7 linked regions of the Cricetulus griseus genome follow. The protein of the gene in region 1 interacts with the protein of each later gene in a pairwise test. Links are inferred from orthologs where the notes say so. Each region holds a gene or a part of one and is shown on either strand. Other genes may lie near its edges.

What was found.
Region 2: the proteins of Nme7 (region 1) and Nab2 interact in binary tests that used the Homo sapiens proteins (3 or more experiments, as listed by UniProt). The two-hybrid records come from large-scale screens. The link is inferred for Cricetulus griseus from reciprocal best matches to the Homo sapiens genes NME7 and NAB2.
Region 3: the proteins of Nme7 (region 1) and CUNH1orf189 interact in binary tests that used the Homo sapiens proteins (3 or more experiments, as listed by UniProt). The two-hybrid records come from large-scale screens. The link is inferred for Cricetulus griseus from reciprocal best matches to the Homo sapiens genes NME7 and CFAP141.
Region 4: the proteins of Nme7 (region 1) and Fkbp6 interact in binary tests that used the Homo sapiens proteins (3 or more experiments, as listed by UniProt). The two-hybrid records come from large-scale screens. The link is inferred for Cricetulus griseus from reciprocal best matches to the Homo sapiens genes NME7 and FKBP6.
Region 5: the proteins of Nme7 (region 1) and Cchcr1 interact in binary tests that used the Homo sapiens proteins (3 or more experiments, as listed by UniProt). The link is inferred for Cricetulus griseus from reciprocal best matches to the Homo sapiens genes NME7 and CCHCR1.
Region 6: the proteins of Nme7 (region 1) and Krt18 interact in binary tests that used the Homo sapiens proteins (3 or more experiments, as listed by UniProt). The two-hybrid records come from large-scale screens. The link is inferred for Cricetulus griseus from reciprocal best matches to the Homo sapiens genes NME7 and KRT18.
Region 7: the proteins of Nme7 (region 1) and Zbtb48 interact in binary tests that used the Homo sapiens proteins (3 or more experiments, as listed by UniProt). The two-hybrid records come from large-scale screens. The link is inferred for Cricetulus griseus from reciprocal best matches to the Homo sapiens genes NME7 and ZBTB48.

Annotation. Positions count from the first base shown.
Region 1 is NC_048598.1:27,997,174-28,000,673, forward strand, and holds part of Nme7 (nucleoside diphosphate kinase 7), read right to left. Parts: intron 2,136-3,500; coding exon 1,928-2,135; intron 1-1,927. UniProt on the Homo sapiens protein: Possesses an intrinsic kinase activity. Displays 3'-5' exonuclease activity with a preference for single-stranded DNA. Does not seem to have nucleoside diphosphate kinase activity.
Region 2 is NW_023276806.1:130,082,124-130,085,630, reverse strand, and holds the end of Nab2 (NGFI-A-binding protein 2), read right to left. Parts: intron 3,394-3,507; coding exon 3,260-3,393; intron 2,979-3,259; coding exon 2,927-2,978; intron 2,835-2,926; coding exon 2,702-2,834; intron 2,502-2,701; coding exon 2,310-2,501; intron 1,361-2,309; coding exon 1,251-1,360; 3' UTR 501-1,250; downstream 1-500. UniProt on the Homo sapiens protein: Acts as a transcriptional repressor for zinc finger transcription factors EGR1 and EGR2. Isoform 2 lacks repression ability.
Region 3 is NW_023276806.1:64,478,668-64,482,780, forward strand, and holds the start of CUNH1orf189 (uncharacterized protein C1orf189 homolog), read right to left. Parts: upstream 2,801-4,113; 5' UTR 1,980-2,800; coding exon 1,903-1,979; intron 399-1,902; coding exon 269-398; intron 1-268. Other genes in the region: C1H1orf43 (protein C1orf43 homolog), read right to left, coding at 3,520-3,715. UniProt on the Homo sapiens protein: Microtubule inner protein (MIP) part of the dynein-decorated doublet microtubules (DMTs) in cilia axoneme, which is required for motile cilia beating.
Region 4 is NC_048597.1:114,399,399-114,403,549, forward strand, and holds the start of Fkbp6 (inactive peptidyl-prolyl cis-trans isomerase FKBP6), read right to left. Parts: upstream 2,801-4,151; 5' UTR 2,753-2,800; coding exon 2,696-2,752; intron 2,495-2,695; coding exon 2,377-2,494; intron 1,580-2,376; coding exon 1,490-1,579; intron 1-1,489. UniProt on the Homo sapiens protein: Has an essential role in spermatogenesis. It is required to repress transposable elements and prevent their mobilization, which is essential for the germline integrity.
Region 5 is NW_023276806.1:229,456,694-229,460,824, forward strand, and holds the start of Cchcr1 (coiled-coil alpha-helical rod protein 1), read left to right. Parts: upstream 1-1,331; 5' UTR 1,332-1,346; coding exon 1,347-1,638; intron 1,639-1,644; exon of another isoform or gene 1,645-1,662; intron 1,663-2,189; exon of another isoform or gene 2,190-2,212; coding exon 2,213-2,364; intron 2,365-2,584; exon of another isoform or gene 2,585-2,649; coding exon 2,650-2,716; intron 2,717-2,932; coding exon 2,933-3,134; intron 3,135-4,131. Other genes in the region: Tcf19 (transcription factor 19), read right to left, coding at 274-511. UniProt on the Homo sapiens protein: May be a regulator of keratinocyte proliferation or differentiation.
Region 6 is NC_048595.1:398,416,383-398,420,573, reverse strand, and holds the start of Krt18 (keratin, type I cytoskeletal 18), read right to left. Parts: upstream 2,801-4,191; coding exon 2,399-2,800; intron 1,686-2,398; coding exon 1,603-1,685; intron 1,308-1,602; coding exon 1,151-1,307; intron 553-1,150; coding exon 388-552; intron 301-387; coding exon 175-300; intron 1-174. UniProt on the Homo sapiens protein: Involved in the uptake of thrombin-antithrombin complexes by hepatic cells. When phosphorylated, plays a role in filament reorganization. Involved in the delivery of mutated CFTR to the plasma membrane.
Region 7 is NC_048595.1:4,334,228-4,336,655, reverse strand, and holds part of Zbtb48 (telomere zinc finger-associated protein), read right to left. Parts: intron 1,071-2,428; coding exon 959-1,070; intron 386-958; coding exon 293-385; intron 1-292. UniProt on the Homo sapiens protein: Plays a critical role in transcriptional regulation and chromatin remodeling. Acts as a regulator of telomere length. Directly binds the telomeric double-stranded 5'-TTAGGG-3' repeat.

The sequences.
Region 1 (3,500 bases):
AAACAGAAAAATTAATGTTTAGGAGTCTGAGAACCACAGCTAATTAACAATAGTTCTATTATAAATCAAAATGAGCAACGTATTTTGGCCTGATTCACACAGTGGCTATTGCTTTGCCTACAGCTCATTAAATCAAGAAGTTAGCTAGCAATCTGAATGAACCAAAGATGTTCATACTAATCAATTCTTTTAGTTACTTAAATGCTGTCCCTGAGCTTTCAGCACTATTCTTTCCACTATATTCTCCATAAAAATCTCTGTTCCATGCTCCAAAACATCTGCCAGTGAGCACAGAACTATCTAACTATCCTCTAGAAAGATTTTCCACGCTCCCAATCAGCGCCATGCATTCATCACAGCTGTGACTTGTCAGCAACCAAATTATAAATTTGAAGAAAAGAACCAACTTGCAGAGCTTAGTAGCTTCCAAAACACCTAAAACAAAACCTGCCTCAGAGTTAGTATTTTCTTTTCCCTGAATTTATAATTGAAAGAGCAAGTCTACCGTTTGGGAAGCAGAGGCAGGAGGCTCACTGCTAGTACAAGTCCGCCGGGCCTATACAGTGAGTTCCAGGTCAATATGGCTACATGGTGAGACCCTGACTCAAATTTACAATAAAATAAATCAAAGCTATACTAATGAACTTTCATACTCTATAGTGTACATTAAATTATATAGAATAATAGGCTTCATGGGATATTTTCATAGAGGTCCAACACACCCTGTGATGCTTTCTAGTTCCTTATTAACTCCTTACTCTTTTATCTTCTCCGCCCTCTTCTCTAACGGCCTCCCTTCTATTCTGATGTGCAAATATTTCTTTAAACCAGAAGCAAGAGGGAGGAGGAGAACTTACTCAAATACTGTATATTTCAGTGAGTCTGTTGGCAGGACATTATAAAAGAATAATTAACTTTTATTACTAATAGTAATTAACTATTACTATTGACTATTAACCTGCTTTTTGTCACTATAAGCCGATCTTTATAATTTTATATAAATTCATCCATTATTTTTTCTATCTTCTTTCACTCAAAAAATATTTTGAGATTCACTCCCTGTAATCAATCCTTCCTTCCTTTTTACAATAATATGCCATGTGTGACTACAGCATGGCTTGTTCATTTTGTTCATCTACTGGACATTTGTGATATCTCTAGTTTGGGCTATTACAAATAAGCTGTTACAAACACTCAAATTCAATCTTCTATTGAAGCCGCTCACAGGATAATTCTCACTATTATTTTGTTGTTGTTGTTAAGACCTAGATTTCATTCTTTCTTTTAAAGAAAGAAACTTTTTTGCTTTGAAATTTTTTATCAATCTGTCTGGCTGTCTATTTGTACATGCATGGCCAGAGGCCAGAGAACAACTTACAGAATTCTCACCTTCCACCACAGGGGTCCCAGTTAACAAACTCAGGGTACCAGGTGTTGATACAAGCACCTTTACCCACTAAGCCATCCTGCTGTCCCGAGACTTCTTGCATCTTCACACATACGTTCCATGTATTTCTAGTGTTTCTCCTAGACTCCTACTTAGCTAATAACAGTGCATGATCTAAATTACAGACTACTCCAATGAAGGTTCTTTAGGAATATCTACTACATATCAGTAAACTAGGATTCCTAATTGAATTCAGTCACAAACATGAGACTCAGCATTTATGCCTTTACAGAAAGAAGCGTGGCAACAAACGGCAGACTTGGAGAAAACTGCACTCCACTGTGACCAACACAACTAATTTAAAAAGGAGATGAGGCTTTGAACCGATACTTGATCCTAGGAAAATGTCAAAAGTTGTTTGCCACTACTACATCAGCTTTTTAAATTTTCCCAAAGTCCTCAGTGGGAGAAATATTTTATTCTGACATAAAACAATTTTCCAAACAAAACAGGAGAAAAATATTTCTCAAAACAACTTACTCTGGCAGCAGATGCAAAAGAATCAGGGCCATGAGCCGCGTTTCTTATGCTATCTGTCCCAAAGACGGCTCTGATGCTTCCGGGGGCATCTGTATGAGCTAGGTTAGAGTTTGCGGGTCCAAGCAATCTTTTCCACTCACAGATCGCATCATCTTTTAAAATCTCCATGGCAATAACAGGCCCACTTGTAATAAACTGGATCACTTCGCTAGGAAACAGGGAAAAGTCTGAATTACTTCTCTACTCTGTCAATCTAGACACCTGCCTTAACAATGAAGATACGGTTGAACATTAGTAATTTCAGGGACTAGAGTTTCTGGGCACAGTGAAGTGAATATGGGCAGTGCAAAACCCTCATCTCATGACTGGAGCTTTACATGGATCTAGTTTGCTACAAAATCATTACAGAACTTTTGTCAGGTTCACTACTGTTTGCAAAGGGAAAGCTTGTTGAATTCTGGCATTTCACTAACTTGAAGTGCATATTGTTGATCTAAGCTTTTCCTATTATTCTAAGGACAAAAGTGATTCCCTTCTTATTTACATACGGTTTACTGTGGTAGGTAGAATTTTACAATAACAAAATAATGAGCATGACATTTTGTAACATTTTCTATGCAGAGAATGACAACTCTAAACCAATGTGAGAAAGAAAAAGAATGGCACCAGGCCTTCAAACACTAGCCTCTTATTAGGAGAAAACTACTCTGGGTTATGATACACTAAATGATCAACCATACACACAGGACTTCATTAAAAGTTTATGTCTTAGTACCAGCTCCCTGGGAAGGAAAACTGACACTTAATTTTATTTTTCCATTTCTTCATGTACAGAAGGCAGCAATGATAAATTTCACTTGAAATAAGTGACATGCCAGGCAAAATAGAGAAAGGACAGGACTTTCTCAGAGAAAGGAAGACAGCGTAACAGGCTATGACCCTGACTGCTTTATACACTCCCTTCCCACCCCTTCATTAATCAACCCTTTTCACTTTAGAAAAACATTTCCAAGAAGTAACAACTAGAAGGAAGTATCTATACACACTATGTTAAGAGGACACGATATTCTTTTTTTTTAATTTATTTTTTTTATTATGTATACAACATTCTGCTTCCATGTATGTCTCTGCACACCAGAAGAGGGCACCAGATCTCATTACAGATGGTTGTGAGCCACCTGCTGGGAATTGAACTCAGGACCTTTGGAAGAGCAGGCAGTGTTCTTAACCACTGAGCCATCTCTCCAGCCCCGAGGACACAGAATTCTTAAACATACTGCTACATCTTAGCAGCCAAAACCAAATACAGAAAGGAAGTACGAAGGGAGAGAGGGAGGAAGGGAGGGAACAGTTACCTACTTAATAAGCATTTAATTATCATGCAATATATATATATATATAGCCATAAAATAGGATCCAACCCTGAGAATTTTATAATGAGTGTGGCATATAACAATTGAGGGGTGGGGCTACTGCGAGGACATGGATCCTGAGCTGACTTCAGTTACTTCAGCTGGGCTCTGATTGTCTTCCCAATGTCAGACTACCAGTTCATTCATTCAGTTATTCAAAC
Region 2 (3,507 bases), on another chromosome or scaffold:
GTGTAGGCATATGGTTACTGGTAATGATTAAAAACCAAGTTCCTCCAAAGCTCCAAATTCTTGCCAAAAAGAGGCTCTGTGACAGTTGAGAGTGAGCCTCACAAGAGCTAGGCTTCTTTGTGTGTGTAGCTGTACCAATGTTTACCTGAGACATGTTAACCTACAGATGTCACACACTCACTATATGACCACACAGGACACGTATCTCTGCTTTTGCCTGTGTGACAACACATATTTGAAAGGCTCAGAGTAACCCAATGTCATTTTGGGCATAACTACCTGGCTGTGACATGCATATAGCTATAGCCTTGGTGACTCCATGCTTCCTGTGTTTTCTAGAGCCTGAGGACTGAATAGGGGGGTACAGGCCTCGCTGTGTAACGCCCTGGGCGCTGGTGGCCCCACCTGCTCTTTTATTTTTCCCATCCACTGCCGGCTTCTCTCCATTCACACCTCATGCCGTCCCCTTTTCCCTCCCTAGGGGGAGGGGGGATCATGGATCCTAAGCCATAAAATAAATTTTATTCCAAAATAACAAAATAAATAATCTACTGTACACAATCTGAAAAGAAAGACACTCTAAGAGTTTGACAGGTGCTGCAGTCCTCCTGCTGGACTGAGGAGACCCAGGGTCTAACCCAGGCCTCTAAGAGGCTGGTGGAGGGAACTGTGGGGAGCCCTCACACACAGTACAAGAACGAACTGCTGGGAGGGGGGGTGATGAGGATGGGTGGGCAAACCGCAGCACTTGTTAAATTAAAAGAAACAGACTAGAAGCACAAAAAAAAAATGGGGATGGGGAGATCCAGTTTTCCAGGAGACCCCAGTATCAGGGCGAACAGAGCCATTTTCAACTGCTAGACCTTCTCAGGAAGTTCTTTCCCCCACATCCAAGCTGATCCCAGCCTGTTCATACCACTGGTGGCCGCCGATTGGAGAGAGAGAGGGAGAGTGTGTGTGTGTCTGTGTGTGTGTGTCTGTGTGTGTGTAGGGAGAGCCCCAGCAGGCTGTAGGCAAAGTCCATGCCCCTGAGCCGGGTGAGGGCGCACCTTGCACCCTCCTAGTGTCCTCTGGCCAGGCCCCTGCTTGTTATTGCTTGAAGCCCCATAGTCCTGTGCCCATGGGGCAGATGGGTGGCAGAAGGGCAGCAGAAGGATCCTTCTAGGGTGGTGACTAGAGTTCAAGGATGGAGAATATGGGGGTCTGAGTGAGCCAGAAGTCTGGGTCCTGGGCCTGAGACATCCCCACTCTCACTGCCGGCTGGCTTCGGCCTCCACTTTCACACTGCTCCTACGACCCTCCACCAGAGCGGGATGAGGTCCTGGGGCCGGGCATCGGTCCAGCAAGCCTTCCTCGAATTCTGTAGGAAAAAGGTGTGGGTTAGGAGACAAGGATGGAGGCTGAGCTGAAGAGCTAGCTGTTCTGAGTGAGGCCAGCACAGAAAAATGTGAAGATTGCTCCTGTTACTCAATTACAGCCTCCTGCCCACTGTGTGTGCACGGGGGTTCCATGACCAAGTGTATGCAGCTCCCCTCCTGTTTTGGTTGTGTGTAGCTCTCTGTCTCTGTGTGTCTCTCTCTTTCTCTGTCTCGCCCGCCTCTGCTCTTGCTGGAATTTCTGGTTCTGTCAGGAGCTGCGGGGGCGGCTTGGCTCTGACCTCTCCCCCTCCCCCTCCCCAGCCGCCCCCACTCATCTCTGGCCCCCCTCCCAGGCCCACCTACCCTACAAGTGCCCCCCCCCCGAGTTTTTGGTAGCCAAATCAGGGGAAACACAGGAAGCTAGACTCCCAGCTTCTCCCTCAAGAAAAGCCCCCCCTCCAGTCCCCGCCCCCACTCCCCCACCCACGCAGAGTTTAAAAATACCAAGCCAGGGTTGGTGGCTTTGTCTGCTGCGTCACTCTCAGCCCAGCGGCTGCCCGGCCCTCTGCCGGCCTACTCCTTTCCTATCCACACACAAAAGCGCCCAGCTCTGGGCTCCTTGGCTTCCAAGCTGGGGAACCCTATCCCCACAACTCCCCGCGACTCCACACCCCGGCATTAGGCAGTTCTAGCCAGGCTTCCCTTACTCCTGATTCTACTGTTCACCTTCACACCTCATTCTGTTCCCTGCTCCCCCATGTCAACGATCCCCACCTGGCCCAGACCCTACCCATCGTAAACAACCCAGCAGTAGCTTGCCCCTGTTCAAGGTCTGACTAGCTGGAGCGCCTGACAGTGGTATGGGATCCCTCTTCCTCCCCTCTGGTCCTACAAAAGAAGGACCCTGTGTGGGCCTGGGGTGTTTAGGGACAGCACTGCTGGCTGCCTCACCTGCGAGAGGCGGCTTCGCAGGCACACAGGGGCTGAGGCGGCCCACGCGATCATGGGAGACGAGGCGGGCGAGCCGCAGCCCCTCATCCATCAGTGTCTGCTGCAGGATGTGGCGGCTCCATAGCCCATGCGCTGGCAATGCCAGGGGCAGGTCAGCAGGGGGCGGCGTCAGCCTTGGGCACGACCCCACAGCTGTGGGCATGGGCACTGGTCAGGTCAGGGGGCTGCCGCCAACGGTACCCACCCTCAACCGACAAGTCATTCCCATAGGCTCTTCTGTCCCCATCCAGCCAGACCTCCCAGCCCTGCTCCAGGCAGTTGACTCCTGGCTCACTCCTGTAACCCACCCGCCCACTCCCACCTCCTCCCAAAGCAGACAGTAATGCACTCACCCTGCAAGTGGCCATCTAGGCTCTCCCCAGACAGACTGGCGCTGTCCTCCTCTAGGCTGGGGCGGTATGGGGGTGCATAGGACTCGGGGCCTGGGGGAGGCTGCTGGATTTCGGTATGACTCTGTTCCCCAACCTGTGGATGCACAAAATTGGGAAATGAGGACCTAGCAAAGCAGTGGTCAGGGTAGGCTATCCTGCCCTGTCCCATTAAGCCCCAAGCCACACCTCTTGTTTCAGTTTCTTCAGTGGTGGGCCTCCTAACTCTTCAGAGTGAAGCCTAGGAGAATAGGGAAAGCAGGGTTAGGGAGGGCTCCAGGATGCACAGGGAACACAATCTGGCCAGGAAAACTCCAAGAGGCTGGTTGGATAGGCATCTCCAGTCATTATTGTGGGGGGTTGGGAGTGAAGAGCAGGCCTCGGACAAGTTGACTTGGCAAGAGGAAGACATGCAGGTAGGTGGGAAGCAGGCCTGGAATTGCCTGAGCTGCAAGTGAGGAGATGTCCAACTCTGGCAGGATTCCAACCAAAGGTGGCCCAGGGAAGGGGGGGGGGTCTCACCTGGATCCCTTCAAGGAGGAAAGATAGGTGCTCTCTCGGGCTACTTGGCGGGACAATGAGAAGAGTTCTACCCTTCGAAGTAAAAGTGTGTTGTCCCTCATGCAGAACTGGGCAGCAGCCTCGTTGATGGTCAGCTGTGGCAAGAGGACAGCCAGTGTGAATGCCGATTCTCCTACTGTTTCACCCCTTCACCGCCAGGGGGGAGGGGGAGCCCATCCAAGGGATGCTAGCTTTAAATAAAACCCAGG
Region 3 (4,113 bases), on another chromosome or scaffold:
AACTCAAACAAAACCCAACCCAACCCAAAGAACCCAAGAAAACAAAGCTTCATTAAACCCAAAACTAAACAAGGAGTGCCATCTGCAAATAATGCAAAAATTTTTAAAAAATCACTTATTGAAAGAGCTTTGACATTTGATATTAACATTCTGATAAAAATCATGAGAAGTCTCAGAGGCAAACAATATGGTTAAGTCATGATAGAAGAGCTTGCTACGCCAGCTGGCAGGGGAGTAGAGAGAGTAGAGTTGCCCTACTAAAACTCACCATCAGCAGCTGTTTGTTGGCCATTACTAATTCCTGTTCCATATCATCCTGCATCCTTAGGGTAGCATACAGGTCTCTCCGGTGACTCAATGTCATCTGCCACATACAGTGAGTATGTGAATTCTTCCACCTGTCCCAGGGTTAGGGGTGGGGATTAAGTGGGTGAGAGTTAGGGTAGAGACAAATCCTTACTAATGTGGTTGCTTTGTGACAGAACCTCTGTCACTGCCAGAAGACTGCAAAGTTCTTGAAAGGGTAGCTAGAACTGACTTAAGTGTAAGTGCACTGTTACTAAATTGTATCATGGACAAGAGGCAGAGCTGTCAGCTGTTACAGTGCACACAAAAGGAAATGCAAAGTTGTGTCACCTAGGTCATTAAGAATTGGGTCTCAGTTCATTGTTCCTAACCTTTACCTTCTGTTTTTCAAGACAGGGTTTCTCTGTGTAGTTCTGGCTGGCTTCCAACTCAGAGATCTGCCTGCCTCTGCCTCTGCCTCCACAGTGATGGGATTAAAGGCGTGTGCCACCACAGCCCATCTACCTTTTTAAAAAAAGACAGTTTCATGTAGCCCATACTGGCCTCCAACTCACTATGTAGCTAAACTTGAACTTCTGTTGCCTCTATCTGTATCTCCTGAATGCTGGGAGATTAAGTCCAAGGTTCTGTGCATGCTAGGCAAGCAATCTACCAGTGAACTGCCTGTGCCACCACCAACTACCTCTCTCACTAAGAATGTCTCACTATATAACCCTGATTCCCTGGAATTATGTAGACTAGTATGAGCTCAAACTCAAGAGATCCACCTGTCTCTGCCCTCTCTAGTGTTGAGATTAAAAGCATATACCACCCACCATATTGGGCCTCCCTTTGGGGCTTTTTGAGAGTGTATCAATCACACTGTAACCTAGGTTGGCCTTAGATTCATGCTCATCCAAGTACTGGGATTATAGGTATGAGCCCCCATGCCCTGCTTCTGCCAGCATTTTTTTAAAAATGCTCAGGGTTGGAGGTATAGCTGGTGGTAAAACACCTCCATGCACAAAGCCCTGGATTCAATACCCAAATGCACCAAAACTAAAATCTTAGCTGGTGAAATATGAGGTTCAATCTTCTGGGTATTGTGTCAGTTGTCCAACATCTATTGAAATACCTGCTATTTAATTAGTACAAAGCCAGGCAAGTATGTTTAAAAAGAAAGAAAGAGAAAGGAAGGGGGAGAGAGAGAGAGAGAGAGAGAGAGAGAGAGAGAGAGAGAGAGAGAGAGAGAGAGAAGAGAGAAAGAGGAGAGAAAGAGGGAGAAAGAGAGAGAGAGGGAGAAAGAGAGAGAGAGAGGGAGGCAGAGAGAAAGAAAGAAAGAAAGAAAGAAAGAAAGAAAGAAAGAAAGAAAGAAAAAAGAAAGGCAGAACAAACACTTGTGCCTTTCCTGAAAAGCTTGGGAAGTGGGCATAGAAACAAACAGGGTCATCCAGTAGGCATTAACATGCTCATCTCCGGTTACTCCGAGAACAAGGCTGCCCCGTTTGCTTCATGTTTTCTTTCTTGAGTCCCCAAGGAGAGCTGATTTGGGTGGTGGCTCAGGGAGTGGAGAGTCGAAAAGACAAACTGATGGGAGGAGATGGAAACACAGATTACCTGTTGACCATCTTCTGAAGTGCCGCGTCTCTTTGCAAATTCTGCAACAGAAGTGAGTTCTGTTCATTTGCCTTCATTACTAGAATCTGAGCATAGTACCTATGTTTGATGAATGAAGTAGTTTCCTAGGGGGAAGTGGGAAAGCTCTACATTTCTCAGAACAGACAGAAAAGAATATACAGGGGTCAGAGTGGGACATTTGTGAACAACTCCTGTTCCAAAAGTGGTTTCTTGTTTTTGCTAACTCTCCTGCATTCTACCAAGCCTTTCTCAGGAATGCTGTACTTTGGGTAAACCCACCTGGAAACCACGTCAAGGGAAACTCATCCAACTTCCAACCCTCCTTCCAACTCTGCATACCTCTTCTACTTTTGTCATTTTTTCCGTAGACATATCTATAGACATGGTTGATTTTCTGAGGCCACTGGGAAGGCTCTCCTTTCTGTTTAGTTTGGTCACCAAGGTTTCAGTAGTCATAGTAACATTTAGGCATCCAACAATGACCCTGGTCCTGGGAGTTGACTGGCTACTTGGCCTGTTGCCCTGGCAACCTAAAGGGAATCCTGGTTCTCCAGCTTTCTATTAGTGACAAGGCTAGGCTATGAGGATGAGCGACACAGTCCCTATTTCAGAATTTCAGACTACCTGCAATGTCTAGATCCAGATACACAGTCCAACCAGTTTCTGGCGGCAAAGCTTCACACCCTATGTTCTGTAAGGGAAATGCAGACACACATCAAATGTCTGTTGTTCTAAAGCCCATTCTAAAGAAAGGATTCATTGTTGGAGGTGGTGGCACTCTCCTTTAATCCTAGCATTAGAGGCAGAGGCAAGTAGATCTACGTGAATTTGAGGCCAACCTGGTCTACAAAGCTAGTTCCAGGGCAGTCAGTGCTACACAGAGAAACCTTGTCTCCAAAAGAAGAAAAAAAATTTTTTTAAATTAATTTTATTAAATATATTTGTAAACTGAGACTAATATGCTGACATTAGAGAAAACCACTTCATGCTGTCTTACCATCTTGGCATAGGTTATGTGGAAGTGCCAGAACATTCCTTTTTAATTGTCAAAACAGTATTGGGTGAAGGCAGGACAGATCCTTCCACTTCAGGAAAGTCATGTTCATGTCTTAATATACCTGGTTTAAATGGAGCACCAAAATTCCAGAGGACATTCCACCCACTTCCTCCCTCCCGCTTCCTCATGAGGAACTGCTGGGCCTTTCCATCAATCAAACCTGAGATGCTCTAAATCCAAATATTTCTATTCAACTGAGTGCAACAGGGTAGACATAGAAGACATCTCAATTTACACTTTGGGACTAAATAGCATTGCACAAGGTAAGTGAATTACAGCCAAAAACAAGTAAAGATCTTCAAGGAGGCTTTGACACAAACATTAATGTCATTTGAATTCAAATCCAGAAAAAGGGCTACTGGGAGATAATAATGTCTTAGCCAATATTTGAAAACGCCTCTAAGAAAGGGCTGGGGAATGACCTTTCAGACACAGCTCTGTAGGAACTCTGGCTTCAATGGAAGCATTGGCTGGTAAGTCTGGGCCCGCCCGCAGAGTCAGATAGCTCGAAGACTGCACAGTTAGCATCTGCAGCTCCATCACAGAGTACTCTCCAATGTGTTATAGTTGTCCTTAAAGCTCTTCAGCTCAAGGAAGTGCTTAGGACGTTTGCTCTTCTGACTGGAGGGGAGATATGTGACCTGGATGGTTGTTGGCGACATTTCAGGTGACTGAGTTAGGTCTTTGGCTGCTGATTGGTGCTGTCTCTGAGAGCTCCCAATTCGTGCTTTGACCCTGAAGAATACACAGAAGACATGAACAAAATGAGAACTAGCAGAAAAGGGGCTGCAAAGCACATACTGCTACTCCAGAGTACCAGAGTTCACTTCCTGGCAACCATGTCAGGTGTCTGTAACTAGCACCAGGCCAGAACCTCTGCATATACTTACACATAACTAAAAAATAAATCTTAAAATTCACCCCATAAATGAAGCTAAGATGATCTCTTATGTAGTTTACCAGTTACTAAGCAAGGTACTAAGCAAGGTACAGCACACACCTGTAATTCCAGGAGACAGAAATATCATCACAAATTCAACGCCAGTCTGCCTATCCGTTCGTTACACACTCAAGAGTGCATGACCATGCGCGCATGTGCGCACACCCCCCTCCCCAATGCTTGTATGTGCGCA
Region 4 (4,151 bases), on another chromosome or scaffold:
TTCCTTTATTTTTATGTATTTATGTATATGTACCACATTCATACAGTGCCCTCAGAGACCAGAGAGGGCATCAGATCTCCAGGAACTGGAGTTCTAGATAGTTGTAAGCCACCATGTGGGTGCTGTAAATTGAACCCAGTCTGCTGTAAAAGCAGTCAGTACTCAACCTCTGAGGCATCTCTCCATTCCCCTAGATCTTATTCAAACCTCAGGACTCTCATCTCAAGCCTTCTTTTTCATGTAGTGCCTGTGGCCCTGCCAGCAGGAAGGTGACTATAATTTCATTAAGCAGACCTTCATGTTTCATTCAATTCTATGAGTTAGTTTCTGGATTAAAGGCCAACCTCCCCCCACTCTAGTGAGGTCCACAGGGATGGGGTTCTCATCTGAGCATGGCCTCTGAAGATATGTGTGTTCGGGGACTGGAGCAATGGCCCAGAGGTTAAGAGCACTGGCTGTTCTTCAGAGGTCCTGAGTTCAATTCCCAGCCACCACATGGTGGCTCACAACCATCAGTAATATGTTCCAGTGCCCTTTCCTAGTATTCAGGGCACGCACATATGCAGGGAGAATGCTATACACAGATTAAATAATTCAAAAAGATATGTGTGTTGTGTATGCACTCTCATGTGGATGCTAGGGAAGAATCTCAGCTGTCATTCCTCAGGTGGCATCTACCTTGTTTTCTGAGACAGGAACTCTCATTGTTCTTGAGTCTGCTAAGTAGGCTAGGCTGGCTGGCCATAGAGCTCCAGGGATCCATTTGTTTCTGCCTCCCCTGCACTGAGATTTATAAGCACACACTATCACATCTGGTCTTTGTTTTCTAGACATGGGTTCTGTGGGATGGAAAGCAGGTCCTCATGGTTGCACGGCAAGCACTTTACTGACTGAGCCATTCTCTCAGATCCTACAATGTCTTATTTCACCACACATGTTGGGGAGTTAAGTATTTACTACATTTATTTCATAAATGCACAAGGAAAAGTGCCCAGAGGATCCAGGTATAAGGCTCATGTTTATCATTTATTTCATCACTCCAGAGCTGGGGCAGGTGGCTTTTGAATTCAAGGTCAGTGTGTGATGTACAGTGAAATTCTGTCTTACTTGGGAGGCAGAGGCAGGAAGATCTCTGTAAGTTCGAGGCCATCCTGGTCTACAGAGCAAGTTCCAGGACAACAAGCAATACAGAGAAACCCTGTCTTGAAAAACCAAAAAAAAAAAAAAAAAAAAAAAGACACAAAAAAAAAGAAAAGAAGGAAGGAAGGAAAGAAGGAAGAAAGACAACAGTTCCCATTGGGTAACTTGGATGCCAAGATAACCTTACCAGGTAAGCTATCACCCAAAAATCAAGTCCCAAGTAGAAAAGTGACAGACAACCTGGTGCCTCCTGAAATCCAAACTCAGCTACCAACTATACGAACCTGTCCACTGGACACTGTGACAATCCTAAAACACATCATGTTTTTATTTGCCTAGATGACCTTACCTTCTCCAAGTTTCATCAGCCGAGGTGTTTTCCTAAAGCAATTAGAGTCAAAAGGCTTGTCCATGTGCTCTAGGTATCCAGAATATTTCACTAGGGCAGAGGGGGAAAAGCACAAGTGTGAAGAAAACATTCCAAAGACACTCTTAGAGCCATCATAGCAATACCACAGGGACACACCGAAATAAGCAGGGTATGGTGGTACATGTCTATAATCCCAGCACTCGGGAGCAGAGGCAGGCAGATGTGAGTTTGAGGCCAGCCTGGTCTACTGAGCAAGTTCCAGGACAGCCAGGGCAGTTACAAAGAGAAACCTTGTCTCAAAAAACAAACAAAAAAAGCAAAAAACAAAAGAATGCTATAAACCAACCAGATTGGTGCACATGGTTGTGATTCCAACACTTGGGAAGTAGAGGAAGGAAGGATCAGGACTTCAAGGTTACTAAATTACAGGAGGTTGGAATTCGGTCTGAGGTAATTTTGTCACCATGTTTCAGAAACCAAACAAAAAAATCAGACTGGGGATGTAACTCGTTGGCAGAGGGTTTGCCTACCATGCACGATGCCCTGGGTTCTGTTCCTAGCATCACATAAAATGTAGTCCTGCCCACCTGTAATTACAACACTTGAAAGAGACTGAGACTTTCTTCAGCTACACAGGCAGCTAAGAGGTCAGTCCGGGTCGGGCGGTGGTGGGAGGCAGAGGCAGGAGAATCTCTTGTGAGTTCGAGACCAACCTGGTCTACAAGAGGGAGTTCCAAGATAGGCTCCGAAGCCACAGAGAAACCCTGTCTCGAAAAACCAAACAAACAAGAAAAAGCAAAAAACAAAAACAAAACCTTAAGCCATAGTTTCCCAAGGGCAAACAGCCAGCCCAGTGGCCTCCATACCCAGCACGGAAGCATCGGGAGTTACGGTGTCGCCAGCGCCCTCTCGGATGATGTCCTTCAGCACACCTCGGTCCCCAGAAATGTCCAACATCCGTTGACTCAGTCGCTCATAGGGAGACTGGAGGGAGAGAGAAGCGCAGGCCTCAGGGACGGGGCCGCCTGGCTGGCCTCCCCCGGGCCACTGCCCGCTCTCCGCCCTCACCTGGCCCAGGACTTCGTCCCCTTCTAGGCCTCCGGGGCCGCGGGTGCTGCCGCCCATGGCCGCGCTCCGGGTGCTGCCCAGCTCGTGCTACCAGGTTCCCCGACCCCCGCTCCGTACCTGGCAGTCGTCGCGCGACGGCGGGATTCCGTTCCTGAGGCGCGAGAAGACGCTCATCTTGCCGCTCAACCGTCGCCAAACGCCTCCCAGGAAGCAACGCCTGGGTTTGAGGCGCGGGCGTGTGCTGCGCACGAGAAATACACGTGGCCCAGGCCGTGCGCATGCGCGGAGGCGCCTCCGGCGTGCACTGCACACGTGACATAGGACGCAAAGCATGATGGGGAACCTGAAGGGTTGCGCCTGCCGCCCGCAGCCGGAAGGCCGGAAGGCCTTTTTTTAGGTCTCTGCTGGCCACGAAATTAGCGACTGAGAGCCACACCTGCTTCTAATCTCAGGGCTGAATGGATAGATGTTCAAGAACTATTTTTGTGTGATGCTGAGGATTGGATGTAGTCAAGATTAGACAAGTGATCTGACCCTCAATAGCGTCTGCAGCCTCCAAACGGGGGGCTCTGTGTAGACGACCCAGCCCTTCACTGAGGAGTCTCGGCGGGCTCTGCTGCTGCTGAGCTATGCCCTCAACCCGAAACCTGACTTTTTCTTTTCTTTTCTTTTTTTCTTTTTGTTTTTTGAGACAGGGTTTCTCTGAGTATTAGCCCTGGCTGTCCTGGAACTCACTCTGTAGACCAGGCTGGCCTCAAACTCAAAGAGATCTGCCTGCTTCTGCCTCCCGAGTCCTGGGAGTCAAGCTGTGTGCCACCACAGCTTGCTCCAAGATTTCAAATTTTATTTTATTTTTATTATTTTTTGGAGGGGGAGAGGACAAGGTTTCTCTGTGTAGCGTTGGCTGTCCTAGATCTCTGTAGACCAAGCTGGCCTAGAATTCACAGAGACCCACCTGCCTCTGCCTCCCAAGTGCTGCCACCACCGCCTGGCTGAAATTTCAGATTTTAAAAGTTCATAATTTAGAAATAACATTTATGGAAAGGAGTCTGATGTCAAATAGTACAATGAGTGTGACTGTTTTCACATCAGTTTCACAAACAGACCCCATGGACTGGCTAAAGATGGAATTCAGTGGTAGAGTGTGCTTGCAGCATGCTCTAGATTCTGGTTGGCATGAAACAAACAAGGCCAGGCAAGATGGCCAAGTGTGTCTATAGTGCTTGCCACCAACCCTGACAACCAGGATCCACAGGTGGAAGGAGAGAATGGACTATTGCAAGTTATCCTCTGCCCTCCCCATGTGCCTGCAAGCAGTAAGTGTTAAGTAAAATAATAAAGACTGCTAGCGTCCCATTTCCTACCCTTACCTGGCCCAGGATTTTGTCCGCTCCCAGGATAGTCACCATCTTGATTGGGAGCCTGGCCTGGTAGGAGACAAGGGACTGGCATTGGTAATGCTCTACAACTTGATCTTTTGCTTTGCTTTTGAGATCATCGCAGAAGGCCCAAGATGGCTTTGAACTTGTTGTGTAGCTGAAAATGAACTTGAACTTCTGGCCTCCCATCAGCA
Region 5 (4,131 bases), on another chromosome or scaffold:
AACAAGGAGGTTCAGCAACCCTGGACACTTGAGTCAAGTGTGAGCATAGTGCTAGAATGTCCACTTTACTGATGACACCCCAGCGCCTCCCTCCTAGCCCTGTGTGAGCTAAAGCAGCCGGGCAGGTTAGTCCTGCACAGCTCTCATGGGCAGATCAAACCGGATCCTGCTTGTCTGCTCTACCAGAGATTGACAGGGACTCTGGGAGGCAGGTATGGAGTCCCAGAGGCTCCCCTACTCATGCCATCCTGGGGCTGCCTGCTCACCGCTTACCTTGACTGCTGTGGTCCTCCAGGCTGACCCGCCAGTCGTCCCCTTGGAGCTCAGCGTGCAGCAATGCATGGACCCCAGAGATGAGGCCCGGCTCCTGCTGGGGCCGCAGGGCCACATCACACAGGTCAGCCCTGCAGCCCAACCGATAGGTGCAGCCTGACCTGGACGGGGGGTGGAAGGTGTAGAGATCACCGCCCCTGCCGCCCCCTATGCGCAGCAGCTGGAAGCAGGGCAGCATGGGGGGGTGCTCCCCTCTGCACCGCTTCTCAGCAGTTCATCACCTCTCCTACTCCCAGGCCATGCACCGGGGGCTTCGGTTCAGTTGTCTGACGTCAGCAGCCCCACTGTGGGTAATGCCAACTTGAGAAACACAGATTTCCAAGAGCGCCAGAGGCCTGGACACGCATGCAACCGCTGTAGCTAGCGGCTGTCAAGATGAGACTTCAAAAGCAATTCCGGAGAAGCCCTTTCGCGATGCAAAACCAGGAAGACGTCCTGTGGGACCTCCGTGATGCCGGGTCCTCAGGCCGCAGAATATCCGGGGAGGCTGTAGCAATCTGTTCAAGGCAAAGCTACTTTAAGCGGCAGCTGGGGACACCCCAGCGGGGTGAGGAGGTCCCGCTACACGGACGTGCGTGCGACACGAACGTGTCCCCTCGAGTGTAAGCAGGAGCCGGGAGGGAAGCCTACAGGTCAAACTTCCTAATCCAGGTAGAGCACCCCTTCTGTCCTGCCCCGAGGGAAGGGAATCCGCTGTCACCCACAAAGGGCGGCGCAGACAGGTCCCTAACTCTGCAACAAGGTGGAGCTCACCCTCTCCTCTTGCGCTTGCGGGGTGCCCCGAAGAAGGACTCCACACCCTGTGCCCCTCGCTCCCGCTGCGGTTTGACAGCCAGGAAGCCGCCCTCCGGAGGGCGCGGCTCGGGCGGGCGAGCGGGCGAGCCGGCGGGCGCGCACCGCGCAGACTCCTCCTACGGAATTCCCGGGTCCAGCTTCGCGCCTGCGAGCCCGCGCCCCTCCCCAGGCTGTCTCTGATTGGCCATCTGACTCGCCCTCCTCCGCTGTACTGGACGATGCGCAGGGAGGGGCCGTCCATCTCCCGCCCTCCGCCGTTTCTGATTGGCCTGCAGGTTTCCCGGGTTCCCGGGATGGGGCGGGGCCGCCAGGGCGCGGAGAAGGCCTGGAGGAGTCAGTGTGCCTGCGTGCGCCGTTCTTCTTCCTTCCTCCTTCCGGCAGGCGGGGCGAGTTGGGGCTTTAGAGCATCCCGCCAACCCCACCCGCCGCGCGCATGCGTGCTCAGGGCGGGAAGCCTAGCGGGGAAGCCAGGGGCTAAGGGGCGTGGCAAGAAGGCGGACCTCGCGCTGGGTAAGGAGCGTTCGGCCGGAGTCGGTTGGTTGGGGGCGGAAAGGGGCCTGAGAGGGGGTGCTCAGGAGGGTGGAGGGGGTCCACAGGGCAGGAGGGGTGCAGGAGCCCGGTGAAAGAACAGATGAGGAGGTCGGGGCAGCCTTACAGCTCAGGGTCCTAGTGAGGGGGATGAGCCCGTGGGTGTGTGCAGGAGAGGAGAGGGCAGACCTGAGGACAGCGAGCGACCGGGACCATAACGTCAAGAAAAATGCAGAGTAGGACTAGGAAGAGAAGCGTGTAGGGATCTCGTTGAGTGGAAAACAAACAAACAAACAAAAAATTTGAGTTCGGACGGGAGTTGGACAAAGAAGATGCTGCAGGACTCTGAGCAGCGAAGGGCTTCGGGAATGGAAGCAGAGGGGATAGAGAGAAACTGAGGCCCGCTGCAGGGAGACTCCGATGAGATAACAGGAAGCTGGCTGCCTGGCAACGCGCTCCAGGCTGCTTGCATTCCCTGGGGATCCTAGGGAAGCCGCTTAACCCTACATGAGGCCCCATTCTTCTGGTGCCAGGCCTTGGGCTAACGCTTTTGTAGGAAATGACCCAGAAATCATGGCGCGGTGGTGCCTAGATGGGTTTCCCAACGTCCCTACCATACCATGGCGAGAACTGTGGAGACGGGGTTCACAACAGGCCCGCTCACCTCCAGACCAGAGCTACAGGGATCGTAGACACTTAAGGAGGAAGGTAAAGGCACCACTCACAATCCTGTAGTAGAAGCAAAATCCCCAAGAGCATCCCCTGGCCCCCATCTCGGTACATTTACCCCATGATTGTTGCCTGGTTCCTTTGTCAGGAGCGTGTGTTCGGGACAAGCAAGTCTGCCTTGTTAGGGAAGTAGGGAGAGAGAAGCTCAGAGCTGGGCAGATCTGTCAGTAACTGAAGGATTGTGGCTTTGTTATTATAGGACTTCCTCTTTGGAAGGTGGCCTGAAAACTGAACTGGAGTCTCCTTGTTTCTCCTACTGTCCAGGGGAACCTACACTCTTGCGGACAAGATCGAGAGGCTTCAGATAGAGTGGAGATGTTGTCTCCCTCAGGTCAGTAAGGCCAATCAAGGAGGCTGGGAAGTCTCTCTGTGTCTCTCTGCCTCTGTCTTTCTCCCTCTCTCCCTCCCTCTCCTCTCTTTCTCTCCCTCTCTCTCTCCTTCCCTTCCTCCCTCCCCCTCCCTCCCTCCCTCCCTCCCTCCCTCCCTCCGTCTTCCTCTCTCTCTCTGAGAAACTGACAGTCTTTACTCTTGTGACCCACCCCCTCAGGTTTTGCTGGACTGGTTCCTCCCTCCCACTTCCAAGCTCGGCCGAGAATGGCCCCGACCTGGGCTTCAGACATTCCCCAGTTCCAATCCACATTTGACCAAGATGTCCTAGAGAGGCGGCAGCTGGACTCTCAGAGGCCCACAGTGACCATGAGGGAACAGGATGTCTATGGAGATGGGCAGGGGCCAGGGCAGAGAGGCAGGTAGGGATCTGTCAATCACCTTTTTCTCAGACTTGCTAATGATCCTTTATACACACATTCCTTTATTTCAGCAGCCCTGGGTTCCATAACTTGTGTGGTTTTCTGTAGGCCATTGTTGGTACCTACACTGCATATACCATTATGCCCTGGAGAAAATCAAGAGAGAGGAGAGAGAGAGAGAGAGAGCGCGCGCTCTGGACTTAAATTCCCAATTAACAAGTGTTGCTAGAGTTTCTTTTCCTCCAGGTCCTGCCACCGCTTCAGCCCCAAATAAACACACAGACACTATATTAGTTATAAAACAGTTGGCCAATGGCTAGGGCTTCTTGGTGGCTAGCTCTCTCTTCATCATTAACCCACTTCTATAAATCTATGTATTTCCACGTGGTCTTGGCTTACCAGAAAATGCCCAGACCTGTTACTCCTTTGGCAGCTACATGGCATCTCCTCCCTGCATCTCTCCCAGGGTTCTCCCTGTCTCCCTGCCCCACCTATCTTCCTGCCTCTTTTGGCCAAACAGTGTTTTATTCATCAACCAATAAAAGAAACATATATACTGAAGGGCATCCCCCATCATCTCCTCTTTTCTGTCTAAATAAAAAGAAGGGTTTACTTTTACTTTAACATAGTAAAATTATATATAACAAAAACAGTTATCAAGTAAAAACATATAGTTAACAATAAAGAAGGAGTGTAAATGTCTGAGGGAGGAGATGGATTGCCCAGAAGCCATTGTGAAACGAAGTGACATGCTGGCTCTTAGTTAAAAGGGCCTTTCCCGGCATACACCACTGGAGCTGGCTATGCTCGGCATATGTGGTTTAAGATTTTATTTTTGAGCCGGGCATGGCCTGCCTTTAATCCCAGAGAGGCAGACAAGCAGGCAGATCTGAGTTCAAGGCCACTCCCTCCCTGGTCTACAGAGTGAATTCCCTGACAGCCAGGGCTACATAGAGAGAATCCTGTCTGGGGAAAAAAACAAAACAAAACAAAAAAG
Region 6 (4,191 bases), on another chromosome or scaffold:
CTAAGTACTAGGCTCCAGTGTGGGAGTAATGGGAAATAGAAAGAGAAGTGCTTCAGTTTAGGGAATCCCTTGATTCTGTCAGGAGGAGGAAGAGGGACAGACAGCTGGGGCTGAGGCCACATATCAGAGGTTTGGATCCAGAGGAACTGCAGCAGGTGACTGTGGGACTCTCACCTGATTTTTCATGGCATCCAGGTCGATCTCCAAGGCCTGGAAGGTGCGCCTCAGGTCTGTGAGTGTGGTCTCGGCATCTCTGATTTCAGCAGACTGGGTGGTGACTACTGTGGTACTCTCCTCAATCTGTAGTGCGGGGAGGGTCAGTCAAGACCAGCCTTCGTTGGCAGCCTCCTCCTCACACCCTGACAACCAGCCTTTCCTCTTGCATACCTGCTGGGACCAGTACTTGTCCAGTTCCTCACGGTTCTTCTGAGCCAGCTCCTCATACTGGGCCCGGATGTCAGCCATGATCTTGCTGAGATCCTGAGATTTGGGGGCATCCACTTCCACAGTCAGTCCAGAGCTGGCAATCTGGGCTTCCAGTCCTTTGACTTCCTGAAGAAGGCAGAAACAAGGGGAGGGGGTACCTAAGAGGGGGCACTGAAGGTCAGAGTCCCAACCCAGCCCTTCATCACTTTTCTAGATGGCCTTTTCTAGAAGGCAATGATGAGCATAATGAGGGAAGAAAGGGAAGGAGATCCTGGACTTGCACTTAGCAAATCTGGGCTTCTGCTCCAGACGGGTAGGAATGCCACTTCTTCACTGCCTGAACCTGCCACTCAGAGATAATTTCCTCTCTGCATCTTATCCCCTCCTCCCCCCACATAACTTTACCTTAAACTTCTTCCAGAAGCCCTACCAGCTCCTAAGACTGGCAATCTCTACCTTTGTCTCCATCTCCCCTTATTTACACAGGCTGGCATTGAAATCAATCCTCCTGCCTCAGCTTTCCAGTGGTAGGGCTGCAAGCTAGACTTTATACTATTATGAGGTCAAGATAATGTAGGCTAACTTGGGTGAGCTCTTTTGCTCTTAATCAAAACAGGCTAGCAGCCCAGGCTGGTGGCTCTAAATTTCCATGCAAGGCTGATTTTGGGGGCAGCCTTGCCCATCTAAGTCTTGGCTCCCAGGCCTAGTCAGTAGCCCCACTTGCCTCCTCGTGATTCTTCTTCATGAATAGCAGCTCTTCCTTGAGGGCTTCAATTTCTGTCTCGAGCTGCAGCCTTGTGATGTTGGTGTCATCCACCACCTTTCGGAGTCCATGGATGTCGCTTTCCACAGACTGTCTCATGGCCAGTTCTGTCTCATACCTGAAGGAGTGGAAGTGATCAGTGGACCCCATCTGATCTAGAGCCTTCCCAACCAGAGCCACCTCCCTAGCCTAGCCTTAGGCCCATCACAAACCAGTCACCTGAGTCAGGCATCATTTCCTCAGCACTGTTCTTGGCTGCCAGGAGCAGTAATGCTTAAACTGGGCTGCATGAATGAACAGTTAAATGACCACTCAAAGGACCCTAACCTGAATAAGCCTCGGAAAGGAAACCCCACCCTAACACAGCCCCTGGAGTAGACCACTCTTAACTCTAGTTGTAGCCCCAGACTTACTTGACCCTGAAGTCATCGGCAGCGAGTCGAGCATTGTCGATCTGCAACACGATGCGGGCATTGTCCACGGAATTTGCAAAGATCTGGGTGGATTAAAGCAGAGGGTCTCTGTGAGAGTACCAGGTCAAATGATGGGTGGGTAGGGGCAGGATCGGGAATGCGGATGTGTCTTCTGTTTCACTGAATGCATCCCAGGCCCGGAACTGCCAGAGGCTAGCGTTCCCATCTCCCTTTCCACCTGTGCAGCCTCTCCCTTCATGGACTCTTAGATCCTGGCACCTTGCCCCTCTGTCTGGGCCTGCACTATCCCGCCTGCCTGCAAACGAGCAGCTCTCTCCTGGCAATTTCGCCCGGTGCACCTGCGAGCTAACCTCTTGTTCTGGGCCCCCCACCCCCTTGACTGGCCCCTCCCACAGGTAGGCTCCTGTTTACTTCTGGATGACTCAGCCTTAGCTACATCCGCTTAACCCTGTAACTGTCCCCACTGAAAAAGAAGTGAGTGTCTGGGTCCACATTATGCCCCCCTTTTTTTCTGCGGGGCTCTTATTCCTGTTCCCTTCCCACTACACCCTTTGGGGGAAGCGAACTCCAGTGTGTAGGCACCACGCTTGGAATTCCTAGGTTGTGGGTGGGAATCCAAAGTATTCCTGTAGAGTGGGGAAATGGGATGGATGTGGAATGGAACTAGTCAACCACCCACACCCTATTGAAGTTGTTTTGGGGGGTGGGGATGGGGTGGGGGCACTGGATGACCACAATGTCTGGGAACGAGGGCTCCTCCCCTCATGCCCCTTACCTGAGCCCTCAGGTCCTCGATGGTCTTGAAATAGTGGCCCCAGTCTCTGACGCCCTGGGACCCCTTCTTTTCTAGATGTTCCCGGATTTTGCTCTCCAATCTCCTGTTTTCAGTCTCTAGGCTCTTCACCCTGTCCAGGTAGCTGGCCAGGCGGTCGTTCAGGTCCTGCATGGTCTCCTTCTCGGTCTGGATGCCACCCATTCCAACCAGGCCTGCAGACCCCACGGAGCCACCCCAGACGTTTGTAGAGCGGGACACAGAGATTCGGGAACCCGAGCCCCCAGCACCTGCATAGACGCTGGCCGCGCTGCTGGCAGGCCGGACCCTTTGGCTGGGCGTCCGCACAGAGCCCAGGGACCGGTAGTTGGTGGAAAAGGTGGTGGAGCGGGTGGTGAAGCTCATGTTTTCTGGAAATGAGAGCGAAGCGAGAGACCGGGACAGGAGTTTGGACGGTCGTGGAGAGTGGCAGCCCTCGGCCTGTTATATCGCTGAGGGAGGAGGTGGGGACATCCTCTGCAGGCCCCGCCCCCGCCACCGGAGCCGCAGGCGCCAGGAGCAGGCGATTCCTGTGACTTACCTGGTCGCACCCTTTTTTGGTTTTCTTACACCAACACTGCCCTGCCACCCTCACCGCTCCAGGAAGGGGGTGACTAATCCGGGCCACCAAGGATAACAGGTGGTGTTAGCCCTTGAGATTTTGCTTTTAGAGAAGGAAATGGCTTTTCTAATACGGGTCTCATAAATAGGTGTCCACTAGGGCAAAGATTTTTATAGAGTGTCCTTAGAATTTAAGTAGGGGGAGAGTCCTGGAGTCCCCAGGAGTCCTGGGGAAGAAAAGTTGGGAGCTCAAGAAGAGGAAGAGAGGGGCTGGAGATACGGTTCAGCGGTTAAGAACACTGGTTGCTCTTGTAAGAGGACCTGGGTTCAATTCCCAGCACCCACATGGCAGTTCACAATTCTCTGTACCTCCAGTTCCAGGGTACCTGACACACTCATGCAGACATGCAGGCAAAACACCAATGTGGTAAAAATTAGTAAATAATAATTAATAAATTAATAATTAATAAATAAATAAAAAGAGGAAGAGAAATAAGATGCGCAGGTCTCTTAGTTTTCACACTCTGGTCCCAAGGCACTGGTTCCCAGTCAGTGCTTTGGCTCTGTCCACTGCTAAGCATGTGTCCAAAGGGAACTATGAAAATATATATTGTCAAATGTGGAAATATATTCGTAAACACACAGGAACACATTTCCTCACTCAGTCCCTGGTGGCTTGAGTGCACAGACAGGGTCTCATGTAGCCCAGGATGGTCTTGAATTTTCTATGTTGTCAAGGAGGACCTTTAGCTCCTGATCCTCCTGTCCCTACTTTTCAAGTGCTGGGATCACAGGCATGAGATATCACACCCAGGTATATCGGGTGCAGAGGATCAAACCCAAGACCTCATATTCGACATAAGCACTCTGCTAGCTGAGTACACAGCCAGCCCAAGAGCACCTACAATTTAACCAGTATTTGCTGGACACCTATTGTGTGTCATGCCCTTTCTAGTAGCCATTGGAACAGCAGGGAAAAGAGACCACTGTCTCTCCTACAGACTATACTGTGTCTGAAGAGGTTGGGGTTTCAGAAGGCAGGCAGGGATGCATAGAAACACCCTGTTAGGTTTGAACCTGATTGCCTACACCTCTATTATCCCGACCCCTGCCACCTGCCCGAACCTCCCCCTCCTCCTGCTCCCTGGGCTTTTTCTTCTATCCTTCCTGGTCAGTCTTCTTAATGCTCTCTGACC
Region 7 (2,428 bases), on another chromosome or scaffold:
CAGCCTCAGCACCCTGCACCATCAGTGCCTTGCTGTCAGGTCATGGTGAAGAAGGGCCTAACCCAAATGCCAGGACAGTCCCCAGTCTGCTGAAGGGGGACTCCCTAGAGGGGCAATGCTCAGCCATCACTCCAGGCCCAGAGAAATGTTGAGCACGGGTGGCTAGAGAAGTGTCCCTGTCTATACGGTGTCACTGGATGGACAAGGGAGGCAGGCTTCGAGGGAGAGGTGCCAGATACCACCCTAGGCAAAGGGACCCACATCCCCACCCAGGCGGTGACCTCGGCCTGACCTTGTAGGGCATTTCCCCCGTGTGAGACACCATGTGCACCCGCAGCTCCATCCTCCTGCGGAAGGTCTCCCGGCACACGGAGCATGTGAAGACCTGGCAGTGTGAGGGGCAAGCAGGGCCAGCATCAGCGAGGGCCTCTGCCTGCGACGGCAGCCTCTGCAGGGGCTTCCACACGCTGCTGGGAAGTGTCTGCCTGGGGTAAGGGATGCTGGGGTAGGAGAGGGCAACATGTAACCTGCCTGCCTTAACCATCACAGAGCACTGTCCACAACCACACACCAGACCCTTCTCATCTCCACACAGGTGGGGGAGGGGGCAGCTGCTACTGTCTCTAGGAAGAGAAGGGTGGGGTTTAGCCAAACACTACCCACCTGTGGCAGGGGGGCATGCAAGGCAGCCCCTCCCAGCAGCCACCCCCACAAACACTTTCCTTGCTCCAAAGCCCAAGATGGAGCTAACCCAAAACATCCCCCCAGGGCTTATCCCCTGTGCCCTCTGAACAAGTGTCCCCTTGTACTAGAATGTGGATGTGATGGCATCCAAGGCCCCTGCAGCTCCTATTTTATAACCCTGTAGCATTTCCTGGGGGTCCTTCCCAGATGGCACGAGGACACAGGTCGGTCACTGGGCTGCTGCCCACAATTACTTGGCCCAATTCCCAAGTACCTGTTCTGAGCGGTTCATGCAATTCCGGGCTTCATGCTCCAAGAGGTTCTCCTTGCGAAAGTAACACTTCCCACATTTGGGACACTCAAAGGGTTTCTCCCCGGTGTGTTTCCTGCCAAGAAGAGAGGCCACAGCGTTGCGGGGGGCCAAGAGGCTGTCCCGCCTCTCGGGCGCTCGGGAGCCCTCCCACTCCTGATACAGACCTATGCTGGGGCATAGGTGTCCTGAGGCCAGCCAGGGCTCACCAAGAAGGCTCAGTGACCCCCAAGTTGGACATGCAGTGGAAAGATCAGAAATCCCCTCCAGTGTAGAGACCCTCAGGAAGAGAAGAAACAGCCATGGCGGGACAGGTGGGGACCGGCAGCCAGCCCTACTTGCACCAGCCTCATTCCATGGGTGCTTTAGAGCTAGCTGACTGGCACAGCCTGGTTGGCACCAACCTCCTCCCTGTGAGCTCCACGTTCAGCCACATGGTAGGCAGGCAGGCAGGCAGGCAGACAGACAGGTGATATGGCTCAGTGCACAAAAGCACTTGGCTGCCAAGCCAGAGGATCCAAGTTCAATCCCTGAGACCCACGTGGTGACAGAAAAACCACTCCCACAAGTTGTGCTCTGACTTCCACCCCCACCCCATGAGTAAATAAATAAACAAATGTAAAACACTATGCCCAGATTCTGCTCCCTTCCTCTCACTGATAGCACACTGGCTGCAGCAGCTCTTGGGGTCCCGTGAGTCACCGCTAGGTCCCTGGCTCCCTACCTGTCTCGCCAGCCAGTTCTACTGACTTCAGAAGCCTTTGGAGATAAGGCAGCCCTCATTACCTCTTGGCTCAGTCCTCCAGTGCTTCCTATTTCACACAAGGAGGACATGGGCGGCCTGAGTGAACTAGCCAGCCCCTCACTGGCCTTGCTCTGAAGTCCTTGTCTGCCCTCACCCCTCACACTAGTCACGCTTACTCCAAGCCCAGGACATTACTGCTAGCTCTGTTCCCAGCAGGAGGCTCTCCCCAGTGAATGGCTTCCTTACCTTTCAGCCTAGGCAGGTGGCAGAAGCCTGTGATGTATCCCAGCTACTTGGTTTAGATCCCACCTGCCCCCAGCACTAGGCTCATGTGTTAGGCAAGTATATTCCCTGCCCATTCCCAGCTACTCCAAGCTAAGGCAGAAGGATCACCAACTCCAGGCCAGCCCAGGTAATTTAGTAAGGCCCATGTCACTGAAAAAGGGCTAGGGATGTAGCTCCGTGGCAGAGGAACACTGCAGATCACGGGGTAGGGGGTAGGCTCCCTGCCTTCTTATAGTCCCCAGGCCACAGTTTTCAGAAACTGACCCTATGCAGTACACTCCAAAACCAATGCCTAGGTCCCACTCTCCTTCTACCCCTCCCTCAAACATGGTCTGACACTCTGTAGCCCCAACTGGCCTGAACCTCACAGGAGGTGCCAAACAGCAGGCATGAGCCAGCAACTT